Linked DNA regions of Drosophila melanogaster. The protein of the gene in region 2 interacts with the protein of the main gene of each other region in a pairwise test. Each region holds a gene or a part of one and is shown on either strand. Other genes may lie near its edges.

Evidence for each region.
Region 1: the proteins of CG31373 (region 2) and Cpr47Ef interact in a two-hybrid assay, tested with the Drosophila melanogaster proteins (one large-scale study listed by BioGRID).
Region 3: the proteins of CG31373 (region 2) and TwdlJ interact in a two-hybrid assay, tested with the Drosophila melanogaster proteins (one large-scale study listed by BioGRID).
Region 4: the proteins of CG31373 (region 2) and MagR interact in a two-hybrid assay, tested with the Drosophila melanogaster proteins (one large-scale study listed by BioGRID).

The regions. Positions count from the first base shown.
Region 1 is NT_033778.4:11,266,518-11,274,134, forward strand, and holds Cpr47Ef (cuticular protein 47Ef), read right to left. Parts: upstream 6,059-7,617; 5' UTR 5,875-6,058; coding exon 5,860-5,874; intron 3,754-5,859; coding exon 3,033-3,753; intron 2,969-3,032; coding exon 2,843-2,968; intron 2,764-2,842; coding exon 2,725-2,763; intron 2,637-2,724; coding exon 2,604-2,636; intron 2,549-2,603; coding exon 2,483-2,548; intron 2,391-2,482; coding exon 2,286-2,390; intron 2,224-2,285; coding exon 2,191-2,223; intron 2,136-2,190; coding exon 2,079-2,135; intron 2,023-2,078; coding exon 1,882-2,022; intron 1,825-1,881; coding exon 1,768-1,824; intron 1,712-1,767; coding exon 1,679-1,711; intron 1,619-1,678; coding exon 1,562-1,618; intron 1,503-1,561; coding exon 1,470-1,502; intron 1,347-1,469; coding exon 1,281-1,346; intron 1,196-1,280; coding exon 1,151-1,195; intron 785-1,150; coding exon 573-784; 3' UTR 398-572; downstream 1-397. Other genes in the region: Cpr47Ee (cuticular protein 47Ee), read left to right, coding at 1-253; TpnC47D (troponin C at 47D), read right to left, coding at 7,597-7,617.
Region 2 is NT_033777.3:10,707,931-10,711,115, forward strand, and holds CG31373 (uncharacterized protein), read right to left. Parts: upstream 1,435-3,185; 5' UTR 1,405-1,434; coding exon 1,126-1,404; intron 969-1,125; coding exon 657-968; 3' UTR 557-656; downstream 1-556. Other genes in the region: CG31278 (uncharacterized protein), read right to left, coding at 1-332; CG14689 (uncharacterized protein), read right to left, coding at 1,746-3,185.
Region 3 is NT_033777.3:26,628,334-26,631,376, reverse strand, and holds TwdlJ (TweedleJ), read right to left. Parts: upstream 1,460-3,043; 5' UTR 1,422-1,459; coding exon 597-1,421; 3' UTR 552-596; downstream 1-551. Other genes in the region: TwdlK (TweedleK), read left to right, coding at 2,670-3,043.
Region 4 is NC_004354.4:15,732,373-15,736,309, reverse strand, and holds MagR (magnetic receptor), read right to left. Parts: upstream 2,041-3,937; 5' UTR 1,942-2,040; coding exon 1,858-1,941; intron 1,758-1,857; coding exon 1,704-1,757; intron 1,212-1,703; coding exon 1,136-1,211; intron 1,067-1,135; coding exon 989-1,066; intron 922-988; coding exon 818-921; 3' UTR 530-817; downstream 1-529. Other genes in the region: Arp6 (Actin-related protein 6), read left to right, coding at 1-473; CG12379 (uncharacterized protein), read left to right, coding at 2,387-2,599, 2,757-3,068; CG8191 (uncharacterized protein), read right to left, coding at 3,082-3,937. UniProt on the Drosophila melanogaster protein: Involved in the assembly of mitochondrial iron-sulfur proteins. Probably involved in the binding of an intermediate of Fe/S cluster assembly. Required for maintenance of circadian rhythms under constant darkness.

The DNA.
Region 1 (7,617 bases), on a different chromosome or scaffold from region 2:
ACAATTTGGCCAGCAATCGTTTGGCAGCAATCTTACTGCACAACAGGCACAACAGCAGCAGAATCTCAACCAGCAACAGCAGCAGCAGCAGCAACAACAGCAGCAGCAGCAACAGCAGCAGAAGGAGCAGCAAAACGAGCAGCAGCAACAGGCCCTAATCACCCAACAACTGAGGGGCAGACCGAACAACCTGGTGGATCCATATGGCTATAATCAGTACGGCAGACGCTTCAAGAAGTCCCCAAAGAAATAACGACAAATTAATGTCATTTAAATGATTGATTAGTTTGAAGATGTAGTCGCAACTCAAAGGCATGAAATACATGCATCTGAAAAGTCAAGCAGTTTGTTTCAATTTCCGCAGCTTACGCGGCGCAAAATGATAAGCAAATATTTTATAATAATCATTTATTTCGATAGTTGCACACACACATTGTCAGAGTGGAAGAGGGAGGTAAGCTTATATAAATAAATTAATTGTTTTAGCGAAAGAACATTGAGGGCAGCCTGCACGGAAATGACGTTTCTTCGATTTGAGAGATTTGATTGGCGTTTTGGAATAAATTCTGATTTTAGTAGCTATAGCCCGTCTGAGGATTGAACTCTCCGTTTCCACGACCTCCGCCCGGCGCTCCCGGAGCAGGTGGAATGTACTGTGATCCTGTGCCGGGAACTCCTCCCGATCCTGGTCTGCCTGGCGAGCCGGGTGCTCCGCCACCAGCCGCTGGTGGAACATACTGATTGCCGGGCAATCCTGGTCCGCCTGGACGTCCACCGGCGCCTCCTAGATAAAAAATGGAAACAATCGCGATTAGAGTGGCATTAAATTTATGTAAACCCTCTTTGATTAGTTGTAATTATTTAAAGCAGTCTTTAAAATTATTATAATCTAGCGACTTCAAAGAGACCGCGTGCAAGCCGAAATGTTTTATGCATGAAAGATCGTTAGTCGATCGTGGGTAAAACAATAGACCAAGGCTTTGCCAAACAAGAATTGTCAAAATAAAAAAACTGAAATGTGTGGGAATAGCACTTGTCTAGTGTAGCTCTTCACATCATTTTCTCATGAAGATGAATGAGGCTAATTCAAGTTTTACAATTGCAATCACACAGATTGTAAAACCGGGTTTATAACTATAATGCTTCTTACCCGGTCCACCGGCACCTCCTCCATAACCTGGACCGCCTGGAGATCCTACATTAAAAAATGTAAATACCATCTATATGTTGTGACAAATTGGGAGAGTGACCTCTTCATCACAAAAACCAATGTTACTCACCGGGTCCACCGGGTGCTCCTCCAGCTCCACCGCGACCACCGCCGGCGCCAAAGCCACCACCACCTCCTAAAAAATAAATATTACTTTAATTATTATAATATTTATAACACAGTTTAACAAGTAGTCGGAAACTTGAAGAATTTCGTAAGTTTTGTGGAATGCACAGTGTACTGTTACTAAGTTACTAACCTTGGCCTCCGAATCCTCCTCCTCCGGGAGAGCCTGCGAAACACGAATGGTATGTTTTTAAAGCCACTAGGCAGATATTAAAATCGACTTACCAGGAGCTCCAGGAGCACCACCACGACCGGCGCCGCCTCCGTATCCGCCACCCCCACCTACAAGATGAAGATGTTTTACTTAAGACCTGCAACTGGAATATTGTTTTGCTAACTAACCTTGACCGCCAAATCCTCCTCCACCAGGCGATCCTATTAATTAATAATTCCTTATTTTCAGTAACAAACAATTTATGTTTTGTACTCACCTGGAGCTCCTGGGGCACCTCCACGACCACCACCTCCTCCGAATCCGCCACCACCTCCTACAAGATGAATGTATTATTCGAGGTGAATGTGCAGTAAGTTTTAAAATCCCTTACCTTGACCTCCGAATCCGCCACCACCTGGGGATCCTGGTGCTCCTGGCGCACCTGGTGCTCCACCACCACCGCGACCGCCGCCGCCTCCATAGCCGCCGCCAGCACCTCCCTGGCCACCATATCCGCCTCCGCCTGGTGATCCTGAAAATAAGCAATGTGTTATCTATTATATAAAGTGAATGAAATCATGAACTCACCGGGAGCGCCAGGAGCACCGCCGCGTCCGCCGCCACCTCCGAATCCTCCGCCTCCACCTGGAAAGTGTATATAGTTTTAACTTGAACCGCAAAGTCAGGCGGGATCACTTACCTTGACCTCCGAAACCTCCACCGCCAGGTGATCCTTTAGTTGAAGTAAGTTATTAGTTTTGAGTATCTATGGAGTAACACTTTTCGTTAACTTACCGGGAGCTCCTGGTGCTCCGCCACCGCCGCGTCCTCCGCCGCCGCCACCACCATAACCGCCGCCAGCACCTCCTTGACCACCAAATCCGCCGCCGCCAGGTGATCCTGAAATATATGAAAATAAATATAAATTCATGAAGTGAATTAAGACGGATTTTCTTTAGGAACAATAAATTTCATCTAGAAAAAGGACTTACCAGGACCTCCTGGGGAACCACCACGACCAGCTCCGCCACCAGCTCCTCCATAGCCTCCTCCACCTCCTAAAAAATAAATAGTATTTTAGATCCATGTGTAAGCCGTTGGAACATAACTTACCTTGACCTCCGAATCCGCCTCCACCTGGCGCACCTAAAGAAGCAAACGAATCGATAAAGTATTAAATTAATCTAATAGGGGTTAACATTTTTAAAAATTGTATAAATAAATCAGTCGTTACCTGGACCTCCTGGTGCTCCTCCACGACCACTGCCGCCTCCTAAAAATAATCAAAGTTAAAGTCAAAAAAGACTAAAAAAAGAAAAAGGGTCAAAATGTGACTTGAATTCGTATCTTACCTGATCCATATCCACCGCCACCTCCTGCTCCACCTCCGCCTCCACCGGATCCTCCTCCTGCGCCGCCGCCTCCAAATCCGGATCCGCCTCCATATCCCGAACCACCGCCTCCGCCGCCACCTGCTCCTGCAATCAAAAGTGAGCAATGAAATGGAATGTTAATCCATTGATTTATTTTGTAGAAACTTACCCTGTCCTCCAGGACCGCCACTGTATCCACCACCCGGCAGTATGGAGATGCCCTGGGCAGCCAGAGATTTGGCTATCGCTTCCGGAATGGGCGGTGGAGTGGGCAGGGCGTTGCCCGAGGGCACAAAGCCATTCTCATCCGCCGTGTACATGATCTCGACGAGTTCACCTTCGGGATTTGTGTAGGAGTATGAGCCCATCACGGATGGGATTTCATTCTCAGATCCCTTGTTCTTAACGGTGCCCTCCTCCTGGGCCTTTATACCATTTCCAGTCTCGTAGCTGAAACGGTAGTTGCCATCGCCGTCGTTCTCGTTGACAAATGAGAGGATCGGAATGGGAGGTCCAGAAGTTGGTGGCGCGCCACCTGACGGACTGGGGCGTGGAGCGGGTGCTCCGCCGCCTCCGCCGCCGCCGCCAGGTGCAATGGGTCTTCCGTTTGCGAAGCCACCAAGTCCGTTATTACCACCACCAAAGCCACCAGCACCGCCACCGCCTGGTCCTCCACCGAAGCCGCCAGCTGGTCCGCCACCGCCGCCTCCTCCATAACCTCCACCCGCTCCGCCGCCACCGAATCCTCCACCTCCGCCGAAGCCACCTCCTGGGCCCTGAAGCCCTGCTCCCGGACTGCCGCCCGCACTGGCCGCACTTGCAGGTGGGGGCAGGTATTTGTTATCCAGCTTGGCTGCTTGGGCAACCACCAGCGTCGTGATCACCAGAGCCTGAAAAAGATCGTTGCAGGTAGGGATTGCCCGGTAAGTTCACAAATTTATGCAAGCACATGGAAAGTTCATGCGAATCCAGCATCTTCCATCGCGATCCACGTTCTCAATTTGGCCTGAAGCGAATCTTTGGCGTGTTGACTTATTTGATTGCAAAATAAATGCCAGTGAAAAATCGCAGGGGTGGCTAATTGTTTAAAATTTAACTTCATTAACTGCGGCTAATTCATAAATCTGAAGATAACATGAAAAAAGGCTGCTAAATGTAATGAAATAGTCATTTAACGACCGCCATAAAAAGTGTTATTCGAATAAACTTTTGTTGCTTGAGCACAAGGACGTATTTAAACTTAAAATAATGTTAAGCGTCTGAAAATTATTATTTTCGAATTATTCGTATTAAGAAATACTTTTAAACGATTTTTAATGTCTTACTAACATTATGTCATTTTTTACAACTGTACTTTACTCATGATAGCATTTTGGTAATTATTTGTAATAAATGTGTATTTTAAGTTAAACAGCAATGGTTCGTTCCAAAAATAAACGATAAGCTTTTTCCAAACTTCAAATTACAAGAAGAACCTTGAATTGTTTCTGCTGTTAATTAAGCCCTGATACACATCTCGGCCAAGTGGGTATCATGACCCCGCCGCTGGGAACCTCCAAAGGGGTCAAGAGTGTGGCCAAATGTCGGCCATTTCATCAATGAAGCATTTGTCCATTGACAGAACGACGCAATCCGATCCGCTCACGTTTTCCATTGTTGCAACCGATCGTCGTCGCCCATTAAGGCTGCAAGTGCAGCGGGGACTCTTGACTATAGTATCAACATCGGGCTGGCTCATCATTGTCTCAGCCTGAGGCGAACTATGATATTTATGGACTTCTTGTTAGACAGAAGACGTCTGAAGATGCAGCAGCGTGTGAACCGAGAGTGCCACAGAGAATTGCTGGCTGGGAAGGTTGGCTAAGCGGAGCGGACCAGCGAGTGTCAAGTTGAAGTTTAAACCGTTTACGAATTCCATTGGGCCATAAACCTAACAGCTCCATCGATTGGCACGATGATGAGCTCACTTGTCGCCACAGCCGGGCAGTGTAATAATGTAATATTGTGGAAATTCTGACATTTGCCACACTGACTCATCCGGCGACTGTGGCACATGCAACCGAAACAAGCAACGCCTGCCCCTTGGGCCGGAATATCTTGAGGAGTCTGTGAGAGCCTCTTGGAGTTCGTGACCACCTAGCAGACATCTTCGACAGCGTTTCGCAACCGCAAATATAATTGCGGTTATTGCAAATGGGCTGCCAATTGGGTCGCCACTGCTTCCATTTCGATGATCTGCTTTGGAGGCGGGGCGGATCGGCCACGACCAAACCATCTTGGGCAACTTTGCGTGCCATCCACCATCTCCGATTGCAAATGGGCTGTTAATTTATGCGTTTCACGGGGATTACTCGATCTTTTCAAGACAATCGGATATGCTAAGTGCAATGGGGAAACCCTTGGCTGTGCTAAAATATCCAAGATGGGACACTCCAGTGGCCTATTGTTTAGGCATGTTCTTTTTCGCGGAATTTTATGAGTTGCCAAGTTGAGATTAAATAATTAACTAAATCAAAGTTTCCTGAAAAGTTATAAACTCTTGATGAATAAGAATATTCCTATGCCAATTTAATACAGATTTCTGATGAGACAATTCCCTAGACTAAAATAATTGAATGTCTTTATTCTAAGGTAAAATTCGTAACTTTACTTTCATTTAAATTAAATTGGGTAATGAAATCAATTTAATTAAATTTGAAGCATTAAGATCTTTGCATTCGAATGTAAAATGTAAAAATGTAATGAATGTAAAAAATCCGAAAAGAATAAAAACGGAAAATATGAATATAAATATGAATATTATATTCAAACATTGAAATATATTTTTGAATCTAGGTCATTATCTCAAGAAGGATACTTTTCGGGAAAAATTAGTAAAGCTCTACAATAATTTCTAACCACAACAGCATATGGAGTTTCAAAGGACTCTTCATTAGAACACTTGGATCTTTTGAATTTTCTAACCCAAAGTTACTTTCCTCTTTCACTGAACTTACCCACTTAAGAGCCATGACAGCAATCTTTTGATTGTTTCGATCGAGGATTAAGAAGAAGAATCCTTGGCGCACCCACAATTTATCCACTGCTTAATTTATCCACAAAGCTGGGTTAATCCACGTAAGTCCTTTGCCGCACCAGCGATGCAGTGCCTCCGCGTGTCGTGTTGTGGCTCCTCGAATGTCACGGTACTTGTGTGCCGATCGCAGCCCAAGTTCTCCAGCTTTTATACTTGGTTTGGCGCCAAATGCAATCAAATGGAATGGAATGAACGAAAACTGCAGCCGGAGCTTGCCGCTTGCAGCTTGGAGCTCGGTGCTGAGCGAGTGCTGAGATTTTGATACTTTATGGCATTTATTGCAATCGTGTGCAGCTGTGGTGGTGATGGTGGTGGTGCTAGCTGAGGCTCCGTCCCCAGCTGGGGCAGAAAACAATCGCACGAAAAAGGGAGGAGGAGGTGGTGGTGCCCCCGCATCCTCATCCGCAAGCCCATGCATTTTGACTATTGTCTCAACGGCGGCATCTCGTTTACTCAATGTACCTTGTCTTGTTAAACAAACGCTCTCAGCCACATCTCTCCTCGGTTAGTGGGTAAAAATTAGCAAGCAAGCAACTGCTGCTGGTGGTGCTCGTAAATTGGAATCCAATCGAAACGCTCAACGCTCGAGCGCATCATCATCATTCAGCTTCATCTCCATTGAATTGCACGTTTGGGAAACCGTTTTAATGCGCTCGGTGTCAAGAATCGCATATTGAGAAGTCTGCCCAGGCGGATGTCAATAAATCTGACACCCAACACAATCCGCCACATTTTCAGCTCTTTCACAGGGCGTCCAGGTCCAGTCTGTGACCTTTCACCTAATGATTGGGTAAAAACTGAAAACTGGATTCGAAGCGGTAATAAATACCACTAATATCGACACCCTCCGGCCGAAAGACTAAGCATTGCGCAAAACAAGTTGCTCCACTTGGTGGCAACATCCAAACCCCAACCCATCCACATCGATCTGCCCCAAGCCCCTTCTCCTTTTTTTTCGCTAACTTTTCAGAAAGGGCAGTTGCTTCTTTTCGCTGAATTTGGGAAAACAAACTCACTGCATGTCGCGGCGGCCAAGTTTAGCGTAAATGCTTGACATCTTTTGGCAACAAGGAGAATGCTCATTGACATTTGCCAGCCTGCATGCATAGCTATGATATACTACATTGGCTGTTTGGAAAGGCAAAAATCTAGCAGGTTGTCAGTGGGCCTTATTCTGCTTGGGATGGTCACAGCTGTGCGGACCAGAACGCCAGTCAAGTGGCAAACGGAATGTGCACGCACTGCCGCAAGTAATAGCGGAAAGATTGAAACAAAGAACTCCGCATGCATCTGGCCACGTTGCGTATGCGCAACATGCATCACTCATACGCCGAATGGCCTTGCCAAATTAACACACAAATGAGCAGAGCGGCCACGCCCACTCCCAGCCCATTGCACAAACATTGAAATTTAATAATAATCCGCACGCCAGAGGGTGGCAATTGGCAATTAAGATGACTCAACTCGGATGCAGATGCACTGCAGCCATAGAATGTTTGCCGCGCTTTGGGTTTTTCTACTCAATCGGTTCCTGAACGAGCGGATTATTTATAGCGTAATTATGATTACTCAATCGTAGAAATAAAATACAAAACGTTTATTCAAGCCTCGGGTGTTGGGGGGTAGACAATTATGAGATACGTTGGGTCCACAATGCTTACTCGCCAGTCATCATCTC
Region 2 (3,185 bases):
AACTCCATTGCTATGATCCTGAGCGATACTCCAATCTGAGGAGCCGCAATGCCGACGCAGTCGAACTTCCTTAGCACCTTGACCATCCGCTCGACGATGGCCTTAATCTCGGGGCTAGCCATGTGCTCCTTGGGCACCAAAGCCGCTTGTTGCCTAAGAACAGGGTCACCAATCTGGGTGAAATGGTTGTATGGCGGCAAGTTTGTGCGCTCCGTGGTCCACAGGTGCTGGTACCACTTCCTGAACGACTGATTAGCGGGAGGACTCGTTCCAAAGGATCGACAATGTCCCAGAATCGCTTGGCATACTTTTATCCGTGGTTTCAGGTGCATTTTGTGAAATGTTTAGCCTCCTTTAATATTCCGATCAAAATCGTAGGGAATATAGTTACACAACACGGTCATACTGGCCAGCTGACCGGCTAGGGATGTGAAAGTATGTACCTATCGATATATCGGTGGAAATAGATTTGATATTTGGCGCGCTTTTAAATATATGCTAGGTGCATAAAATACTTTTTCCCCGCACACAAAGTTTATTTCGTAAACAGCGCATTCATTTCAGAAGTGTATTTTATTTTCAAACAATATACAAATATGTTGTATAAAGCGCCATAAAAAAGTGAAAAGCTCCTTGAATTAAATGCAACCAAGTTATTACTTGTGAAACCAAATGGCGGATCGACCTTCAGCTGCGTTGATTTGCTCCCAGAGGATGCAGTTGAAGGTGGAGAGATCCATCCTATCCATGTAGATAGTTCCATTAAGGTGATCCACCTCGTGCTGGGCGATCCGTGCGTTCCAGCCCTCCAGTTCCATTTCCGACGGAGTGCCCAGCTTGCCGATCCCCCGGATCCGGACCTTATCGTACCGTTCCACCTCAGCGGAATAGCCTCGCACACTCATGCAACCTTCGGGATGCTTGTTTACTTGGCTGCTGATTATCTCCAGCTCCGGATTAATGAAGACCTGCAAGCAAATGATTTATGATGAGAAATCACGGGATTGTTGCTGCACATAAGCAATATTTTTGTATGCAGAAATTTAGTTTCTCAAATTCATACGTTTATAAAACTGCATAGATTTACATATATTTTTCGAACGCGAAAAGAAAAGCTTTACTTACGGCCAAGGGCAGTATGGACATCTTACGCTCCTCGTAGATTTCCGGCTTGAATTGCTCTTGCTTTCCCTCTCGGAATTCCATAACGATAATACGCAGCGGTATTCCAACTTGGGGCGCAGCCACGCCCACGCAATCGTAGTGACGTAACACCTTTACCATGCCGTCAATAATCTGGTTGATCTCCCTACTATCGATGTCCTCGGGCGGCACCTCTTCTGCCCTTTGGCGCAGAACAGGATCCCCAATTTGGGTAAAATGACGATATGGCGGAGCGGACATGATTCTGGTCGGAAGAAGATCTCTACTGAACCGTGTCTATCGAGCAACTACTGCACAGAGCTGTCGAGGTGGACAGATTTTGATACGATAGCCTTATCTGGGGATCAGCTGATCTGCCATTTGAAACACTGGGAACGATAAGTCTACGGTTCGCATTTTAAAGCGGAAATATATACCTTAAAAATCCAATACAATTTTTTAAAAATACTAGTAATATCCTACAATATTAGTAACAACAATATTGCCAAGCTTTCAAGATTTATAAGTATTTTATTCACGAATAAATAATTTTGAAGTATTTGAAGTCTCTTGAAAACCTAATGGATGTGTACGACCTCAAATCAATCGAAATAGTATTCCTGTGGCGTTTTCTTTTGGCGCGGCGAATTGAAGCCCCCGATCCGCGAGGAGGTGATGCTAACGTTGTCCGGTTCATATGGAGATCCCTTGCGCAGCCTGGACTTCACCTTAAAGTAATTGGATATGACCTGGTCGACCTTGGTTACCGGTACCTTTTCGGCCAGTTCCTTCTCGCACCGGGATACCACGTTGGTGAGCAGCAGTCCCCCGGAGCGATAGAACTGGACGAGCTTGTCCCGCTTGAGCCACTTCTGCAGGATCTGCACGCTGTGCGGCTCGTAGATGCGATACACCTTGTAGAAATGCTCGTAGTTTTCATTCATCTTGCGCGCTTTCAAGGCGTCGATCTTGGGAATGTCCAAGTGCGGCTGGCGAATGATGTGGTACGGATCGTAGCCAAGCGAAAAGTTTGAGTAGCGAACTGTGGGCCAGTCCAGGTCTAGGATGGTGTTGTACAGATCCTTCGGATGTCCCAGTATGCCGTGTGCCACATCGATCATACGCAGCTGTGGTCCCGGCACAATGTACTCCAGCTCCATCTCGGCAATGCGCTTGTCGTTGCCTCGGTACTTTCGCTCGCCAATCCACAGGATGGGCATGTCCTCCTCCGCCACGTGCTCCAACTCCTGGACGAGCGGCGATATCTGGGTGCGATAGTTAACGATTTTATGGTTCCGACCGTACAGTAAACTGCGCTCCGCCGGCGTAAAGCTCAGATACTCCGGACGTGCCATAACAAAGTGATCGGAACGAAACAGACGGTTCATTTCCATCTCAATGACATTGTACGCACGGCGATGCATGCAGATCCAAACAATCTGGGTCATCACGGCCAGAAACTGCTCGTGGAAGACGCGGTCGCGACTGGTATCCGAAATATTGATAATCTCCTTCATATGGTAGTATTTGGCCATATCGCCCTCTCCCTTCAGAATCACACTGTAGTTGCGGGCCACCAGGAGGCGATACTGACTGAGATAGATCGAGAATGTCTTCTTCATATCGATGGTCTGATCGCTCTGGATCTGATCGGCCAATTCGTCGCGCCGCACCAGCACAAACTCCACCATACGCAGAAAGTATTCGAAATAAATGATGAGCGCATGGATCAGACGGTGAACCGCCGGGCGGTGCATGAACTCCACGAACCGGTAGGTCAGAAAATCGCTGGGCATCAGGAAGAGGACCAGGTCACGGATGTCGTTGATCACCAAGGTGTCAAAGTCATAGGTGCCCGTATCCCGCACGTAAGCCTGCCGGAAGATAAGCTCCTCCTCCTGGTCGATGATGCGCAGGAACTTATAGCCATTGGTGGTGATGTAGCGCTCCCTGGCATTCTCCAGATCGTTGTGCGGCTCGAATTCCAGGCAATCCTTTTCGGCGCTCCAGGACCACTTGCCACTATAGTACTTCGGTGTGTA
Region 3 (3,043 bases), about 16 Mb from region 2:
TTGTCGTCTGTCGCCCGATGTCTCGTGCAATTTGTCAAACCGAGTGCCATCTCAATTTCGAACCGCGAAGTGCGTAGGTAGGCATGGGCAGCCAAGTAGCCGATAAGCCATATGTTATACACCAGATTATACAGATTAACACGAAGCAGATTATTCAAAGCGATGCCAGAGAAAACATCTTAGGTTTCCGCTCATTTGCAATTTTCACAAACAGCTTAGCCGGACGGACTCATAATTCAACGCAAGTCGAACTTGTTTGCCAGCCGCCGAGTGCGAAAATGTTGTGCCTCGGAAATTTAATTCTGGCTGATAATATGCCTAGGAATGTTGGCCGCGAAGATCCGCAAGCCAACCTAATAATTTACATTTTAAAACAATTTTATTAGGTCTTCAAATCTAAACAATAGCACAAGAATGTCGGGAATTTCAGGAGCATCCAGACTATCTTATTACGTATTTTTAATCCTCAAAATAGCTGATTATACCATTTATATCAATAGCTCTCAAAAAGAGTAACAACAACTTAAAAATTTATATTATTAAACAAATTTATTTCGTATTATAATCTCAACAATAACAAAGGAAATGCCAGGAACTTAGAAACGCAGGCGGCGCAGGATGTTGGCGGGCAAGTAGGAGCTACCTGGGGTGGCAGGTGGCACATACGAGGAGATGGGTGCAGTAGCCTCGGGCTGGGAGGCGGGCAGGAACTGGGCGGGCGCTTGGCTGCTGGCAGCCTGAACAGGAGCGGGCTGGGAAGCGAAGTTCAGGGTGGATGCCACTCCACCATCTTGAGCTTGCGAAGATCCTCCCAACTGATCGTACTGACCCTGAATTGCACTCTGGGCGTTGGCAGCATCCTCGGGAGTGCGGTACTTGACGAAGTGCACCTCGGGCTTGTTGTTGTTGTTGTTGCGGATGGAGTTCAGCTTGTTGGCCAGATCTCCAATGTCAGCCTGCTTGTTCAGGACATAGATGGCGGTCTCCTGCTGGGCAGCCTGCTTGGCCAGAGCCAGAGCGGCATCCTCCAGACCGCGGTTCTCGGGTCCCTTGATGAAGACCACGCGGAGTCCCTTGTTCACGGCGTTGGCAACACGGTCGGAGGCAGCTGGGTCGTAGAAGTCACCCTCGTCGGCGGTGTAAGTGAAGAACTCCTTTTCGAGTTGGGCCTGAGGAGCAGCGTAGTTGGGGGCAGCAGCGGATTGAGATCCTTCCAGGGCATCAGCAATGGATGAGGGACCGGGGCCAAAGGATTCACTGGGTGCAGGCGCGAAAGCGGGTGCATCGCTACTGGCCGATCCAGATGGCTGGAAGCTCAATCCGGAGGGAGAGTGGGCCACCGGTTGGTAATTGTAGCCGAGTTTATCGGCTCTGGCCAAAACGGCGAGGCACAGGCAAAGAACTACGGAGAACTGACGCATGTTGAGCGGGTGAGGTGGTTGTGGGATTTGATGATGGTGTGAGATGGTTCTTTCGCTTTTATGCAGATGAAAGCCACTGCTATGCAAAACGCTCTGCATAAAGCGGTCTAATTACGGTCTTAGCCAACTAGATCAGGCAGTACCGGTACCACCCCGCTAAAATATGCAAGCGAAGCGGGTGGCTGCATCATGAGGTCAACGTAGAAACTCAGAAGGAAGAGGTACGGGCCATGTATGAGCCGGAGCTGGCGCCATAAAATTCATATTAAATTCAATATGCTGCCTTAATCAATAATTCGCGTATTCTTCGGCGCCGCTTTTGGCCAGTGTTGTGGGCCAACCTTGCCATTTTGGTATTTTCATGTAGCTTTATCGTTGAAATCAATAAAATCTGGCTATAAAAAGCCGCGGACAGAGCATCAAGAGCATCGTAAACCTCATTTGGGGCTATTTAGATGGATGCCTTGTTACTCATGTATCACATGTGTATCACAAATCCAAACCCATTCCCAGTTCGCCCGGGATGAGAAGTGTCACCTAAATCGGCCGGAGAGCAAACAAAACGTTTGACAGGCCGTTTCACATGCAAATGAGGCGCGCCTAGTCGCGTTACCGCTGCCAAAAATAAATATTTTAACGATTCGCCAAATTATTATTGCCTTATTCAGCGGCTTTGTCTTGTCGTCTTGGTCGCTGTGTTTAGCTGCTTTATGCTAATGTTGCGGGTGGAGGCGACCTTCCATCCGCCGGAAGTGAAGAATCGAACTCATCGCTAAATATAGCAGCCATCTTTACTTAATATATATACATGGTTTCTGATCGCCTAGGCCGGTTGCCAATTAAAAACTGCACCACTGCGCCTTGTCAGCGCCAAATCAGATAATTCGATAATTGGTCTCTTAATAAATTACTTGGCGCCATCTGATTTGGCAATCCGAGTCGGACTATGAACCTCCTCACTGGCCAATTCTGGTTAGCTCATAATTTGCATGCCGCTTTCCGCAGAGCCAGTAAAAACAAAGCCATGCAAAAATTTGCAACCGCAGCAGCAGTGTGACGAATCATAAAATTATATTATAAATTTAACATTTTAATCTCTTATTTATGCATTTTTAAGGCAAATTTGAGCTGTTCATAATTCATATCGCACCATACTGCAGCCGAAGAACTGAATATTGCACCTATAAAAGCCAAAATTTCGACTCGATAAGTCAGTAACCAATCATCTTTGCCATCCAAACAGTCAACATGCGTTCCTTCGTCGTCCTTTGCTTTATTGCCTTGGCCACGGCCGATAAACTTGGCTACAATTACCAACCGGTGGCCCACTCTCCCTCCGGATTGAGCTTCCAGCCATCTGGATCGGCCAGCAGCGATGCACCCGCTTTCGCGCCTGCTCCTAGTGCATCCTTTGCCCCCGGTCCCTCATCCATTGCTGATGCCCTGGAAGGATCTCAATCTGCTGCTGCTCCCAACTACGCTGCTCCTCAGGCCCAACTCGAGAAGGAATTCTTCACTTACACCGCCGACGAGGGTGACTTCTACGACCCATCTGCTTCCGACCGTGTTGCCAACGCCGTGAACAAGGGACTCCGCGTGGTCTTCATCAAGGGACCCGAGAA
Region 4 (3,937 bases), on a different chromosome or scaffold from region 2:
TTGATTATGTCCTTCCAGACTTCACCACCGTCAAACGGGGCTATGTTCGTGTTCCCGGAAAGCCGCGCGAGGATGAGGAGCAACAGCAAATGGTGTCGCTGTGCAATGAACGTTTCACCGTGCCCGAGCTGCTCTTCAATCCCTCGGACATTGGTGTGCAACAGGTGGGCATTCCGGAAGCGGTGGCCGATTGTCTGAAGGCTTGCCCCTGGGAAGCGCACCGCGAACTCCTGCTCAACATCCTTATTGTGGGCGGCAGTGCCCAGTTTCCGGGATTTCTGCCGCGCCTAAAGCGCGATTTACGTGCCCTGGTGCCCGACGATCTTGAAGTGTCACTCATCTGTCCCGAGGATCCGGTGCGGTACGCGTGGTACGGCGGCAAGGAGGTTGCGACCAGCCCCAACTTTGAAGAGTTTGTTTACACGCAAGACGACTACGAGGAGTACGGTTTCCAGGGTATCAATCAGCGGTAACATGCACGTAGTCGAAGTATTTTTTCAATAATAAACTTGATTTGCACATGGGTTTTCTAGAACATTCCTTGTCTATATATTGAACTAGGGCTAAAGAGGACAAACTGCCAGCCTGCGGCAAGGAAGCGGGTGCGTCACTTACCTAGCGCTACAACTAAAATTTAACTATAGAACACAACTTAATATTTAGAATTCGTTTGCGAAGTAAAATTTACAAAGGATGCGGTGCTTTTGCCAACAACGTAATGAGATACAAGGTCGGGCCGCGTACTGCATTTAACTTAGTTAATTTAGGTCTGTCTGCGAGGCGGGTGCCGGCGGATCTCCTCCGGATCTCCATCGGTTTACATGCTGAACGATTCGCCGCAGCCGCATGTGCCCTTAATGTTCGGATTGTTAAACACGAACTCGCTGGACAGCTTCGATTCCACAAAGTCCATCTCGGTACCTGCAAGCGAATTATACTCTGTATTAGCTGGCTTGTCCAATGCTATGCTAAGCTGGTATGAACTTACCCAGCAGCGACAACTGCGCTTTCTTGTCGATGAAGACCTTGACGCCATCCTGGACCACCTCCTCATCCAACTTGTCTGCTGGCAAAAATCGACACAGAACGCAGCATTAGATCTCCACCGAACAACATTCTGTCCAGAGTGGCTTACCTTTTTGGCTGGCATAGTCCAGCGTGTAGGACAGACCATTGCATCCTCGCTGCCGTACGCCCACCTTTAGGCCAACCTGTGGCAGAAACAACATCGAATTTCTGTCATTAACTGTGTGGCTAATTTATAGGCAGCCTTGTTTATTGACCAAAGACAAAGAACTCGGTATTCTAATAAGTCTGTCTCAATTCAAAGAATTTAATCACTTAAAAACTAAATGATTAACAACAAGATAAACATGCTCATCAAAATTTGGTCGGGTCAAAATTTGGAAAATCTAGCTGATTAACGCAGGCCGAATTAGTTAGCATGGCTTATATTTATAGCTAATAATTTGCGCTAAAATATATGACTGACTGAGGAAAAAGCCTATTGTCAAATATAATGCTTGAAGAAGCCCTCTTGCGAACTTCCTATACTCCATGCAACCAGTGCTAAAACTTAAATAACATGCACGGGAACCTTTAAAGAGCTAGGCGAGATTATCAAGATCTCAATCGTGGAAGGCGATAGAATGCCCACTAAAGTGTAGCCTTGGTTCGATGACAACTTGTCAGCAGTCACTCACCATGTCCGGCTTGTCCTGCAGAAGCGTCTTGATGCGTAGCACCGCCGCGGGTGTCTGAAAAGGATTGGGGGAGATCAGAATCATCAGATCGAAGGGGACTGTTACTTCATCAGCAGCAGCATGCGCCGATTTCACCAGGTTTTGGTTTCCTTACCAGAGTCAGAGCGGCCCGCGTCGGGATTAACTTCCGGCCTTTCACCGCCCGCACTGTCGCCGTTGCCACCACACGTGTCGCCATCGGTTCGTGCCCTTTATATAATTTGTTTGACTCGAGAATTTCCACAAAAAAAATTCGAAAATATGAGTGCTTACTACCAGATGGTCGATAGTACTGTCGATAGTATCACGTGAGATGGCATTAACAGATGTCATCGATTGGCAGTGTCACGGGATAGCGGAGAAACGGTTACTACCTGTTTGAAAAATAAGTTATTTTTAAGCCCCAGAGTCCAGGTGGACTTCATTAATAACTTAACTTAATATTTCACAGTAGAATTTATATTAACAATTGGTTTTAATGTCTGTGAGTTACAGCAAATTTTATCAGCACCAGTGACAGCTATAGTAACTTTTTAAAATCGTGACTCGCGACTAGTTTTGAAATGAAAGGAGGTGCCATCTCTAAGTTTAAATGAATTTCACACTTTTCGATTGAGTTAAATAATATCAACAAAATCGAGGATATGTCCGCCCTAAAAAAATTTTATAAAATCAGCGCAGGTGTGAGAAGAGGCGCACTACTTACCAGTTCCCGAAGAACACAAATTGATGCTTTAAATAGTCCACAATTGCAGTTGCAAGTGCATCACTTTGCAACCAAAACACAAACAGCTGTTTTTAGCAGCAGCAACAACTACACGTGCATTTGCCGCAGTATACACTGCAGTAAGCCAGTGGTATGTTTGGAAATCAGTTGTAAATACAAATAAACTACCCAATTGATATTAAATAATGTTATTTACATTTGTAATTTAAAATATTATAAATGGAATGCAATATTTAAAATTATGTATAACAAAAAAGTTAAGTATAATTATTTTGCTCTGCTCCCAGGACGATGCGGACAAGACGGTGGCCACGAATAGCATTCCTCTGGCGAAACTGGAGGCCAAGATGCAGCTGATCTACACCTGCAAGGTGTGCCAGACCCGGAACATGAAGACCATTTCGAAGCTGGCATACCAACGCGGCGTTGTTATCGTGACCTGCGAGGGCTGCTCCAATCACCACCTGATCGCCGACAATCTGAACTGGTTCACAGATCTGGACGGCAAGCGCAACATCGAGGAGATCCTGGCCGAGAAGGGCGAGAAGGTGGTTCGCCTGACCGATGGCAACTGCGAGTTTTTGCCGAAACATGATTAAACTCGTAGTGTAGTTAAGTGAAAACGAATGCCACTTTATTTAGCAGCTCCAGCAAATGTGTCCAGGAATTGGGGGGTAGTTGGGCACGCAGCTGCTGGGCGAACTGCCGGCGACATATGGATCCGGTGGCCAGCATCAGGTAGGTTATGTATGTGGCCTCGTTCACGGGCAGCTGCGAGACAGCCGTGACTGGTGCATCAGCGGTCAATTGCATCTCATCCAAGTCTAGGTAGGGCAGGTGGCGATTCCAATGGTCGATTAGGTAGGCAATAAGGCTGCCGGCCAGACGTACATGCTCCATACTGGCCCAGAATCTCATCTCATTGGCGGATTGCGATACGAACAGAAAGATATTGTGCAGGAAGCCGGTGCAAGCGGTAGATCCGCCCTCCGATAAAGTGTCACAGATCATGTGGCGCATTAGGTAGCAATCCTTGTGAATTTCGCTGTCCTTTGGCTCCCTAAAAAGCTGCAGCCACACCTGGTACTCAATCAGCTCCATGGAGCGCTTTATTGCGGTCTGCATGTCCTCAAGGCTGGATAAGCGGCCAATCCGCTTGACTAGCCGTCGCATCTGCTGAAGATCGGGATTGATAAAATCGCTGGAAGAAAGCGCATCCGATTGGCGTATTGCCGACCAGTCCAAATCACCGATCTCACTCCACGCAGGCTGAATCTCGGCCAACGTTCGATGCGAAAGATGAAGCAGTGGTGCATGAGTTTCTCCCTTTCGTGTGTTCACGATGGTGGTACACAGCTCACGAATACACTTCCGTCGATCCACCAATGCAGAGCAGCTAGCGAAGAAGCCACGGCAATCGCAGCGTTCGGCCAGCGATTGCCCGAAGCGATCATAGCACTCGAACAGG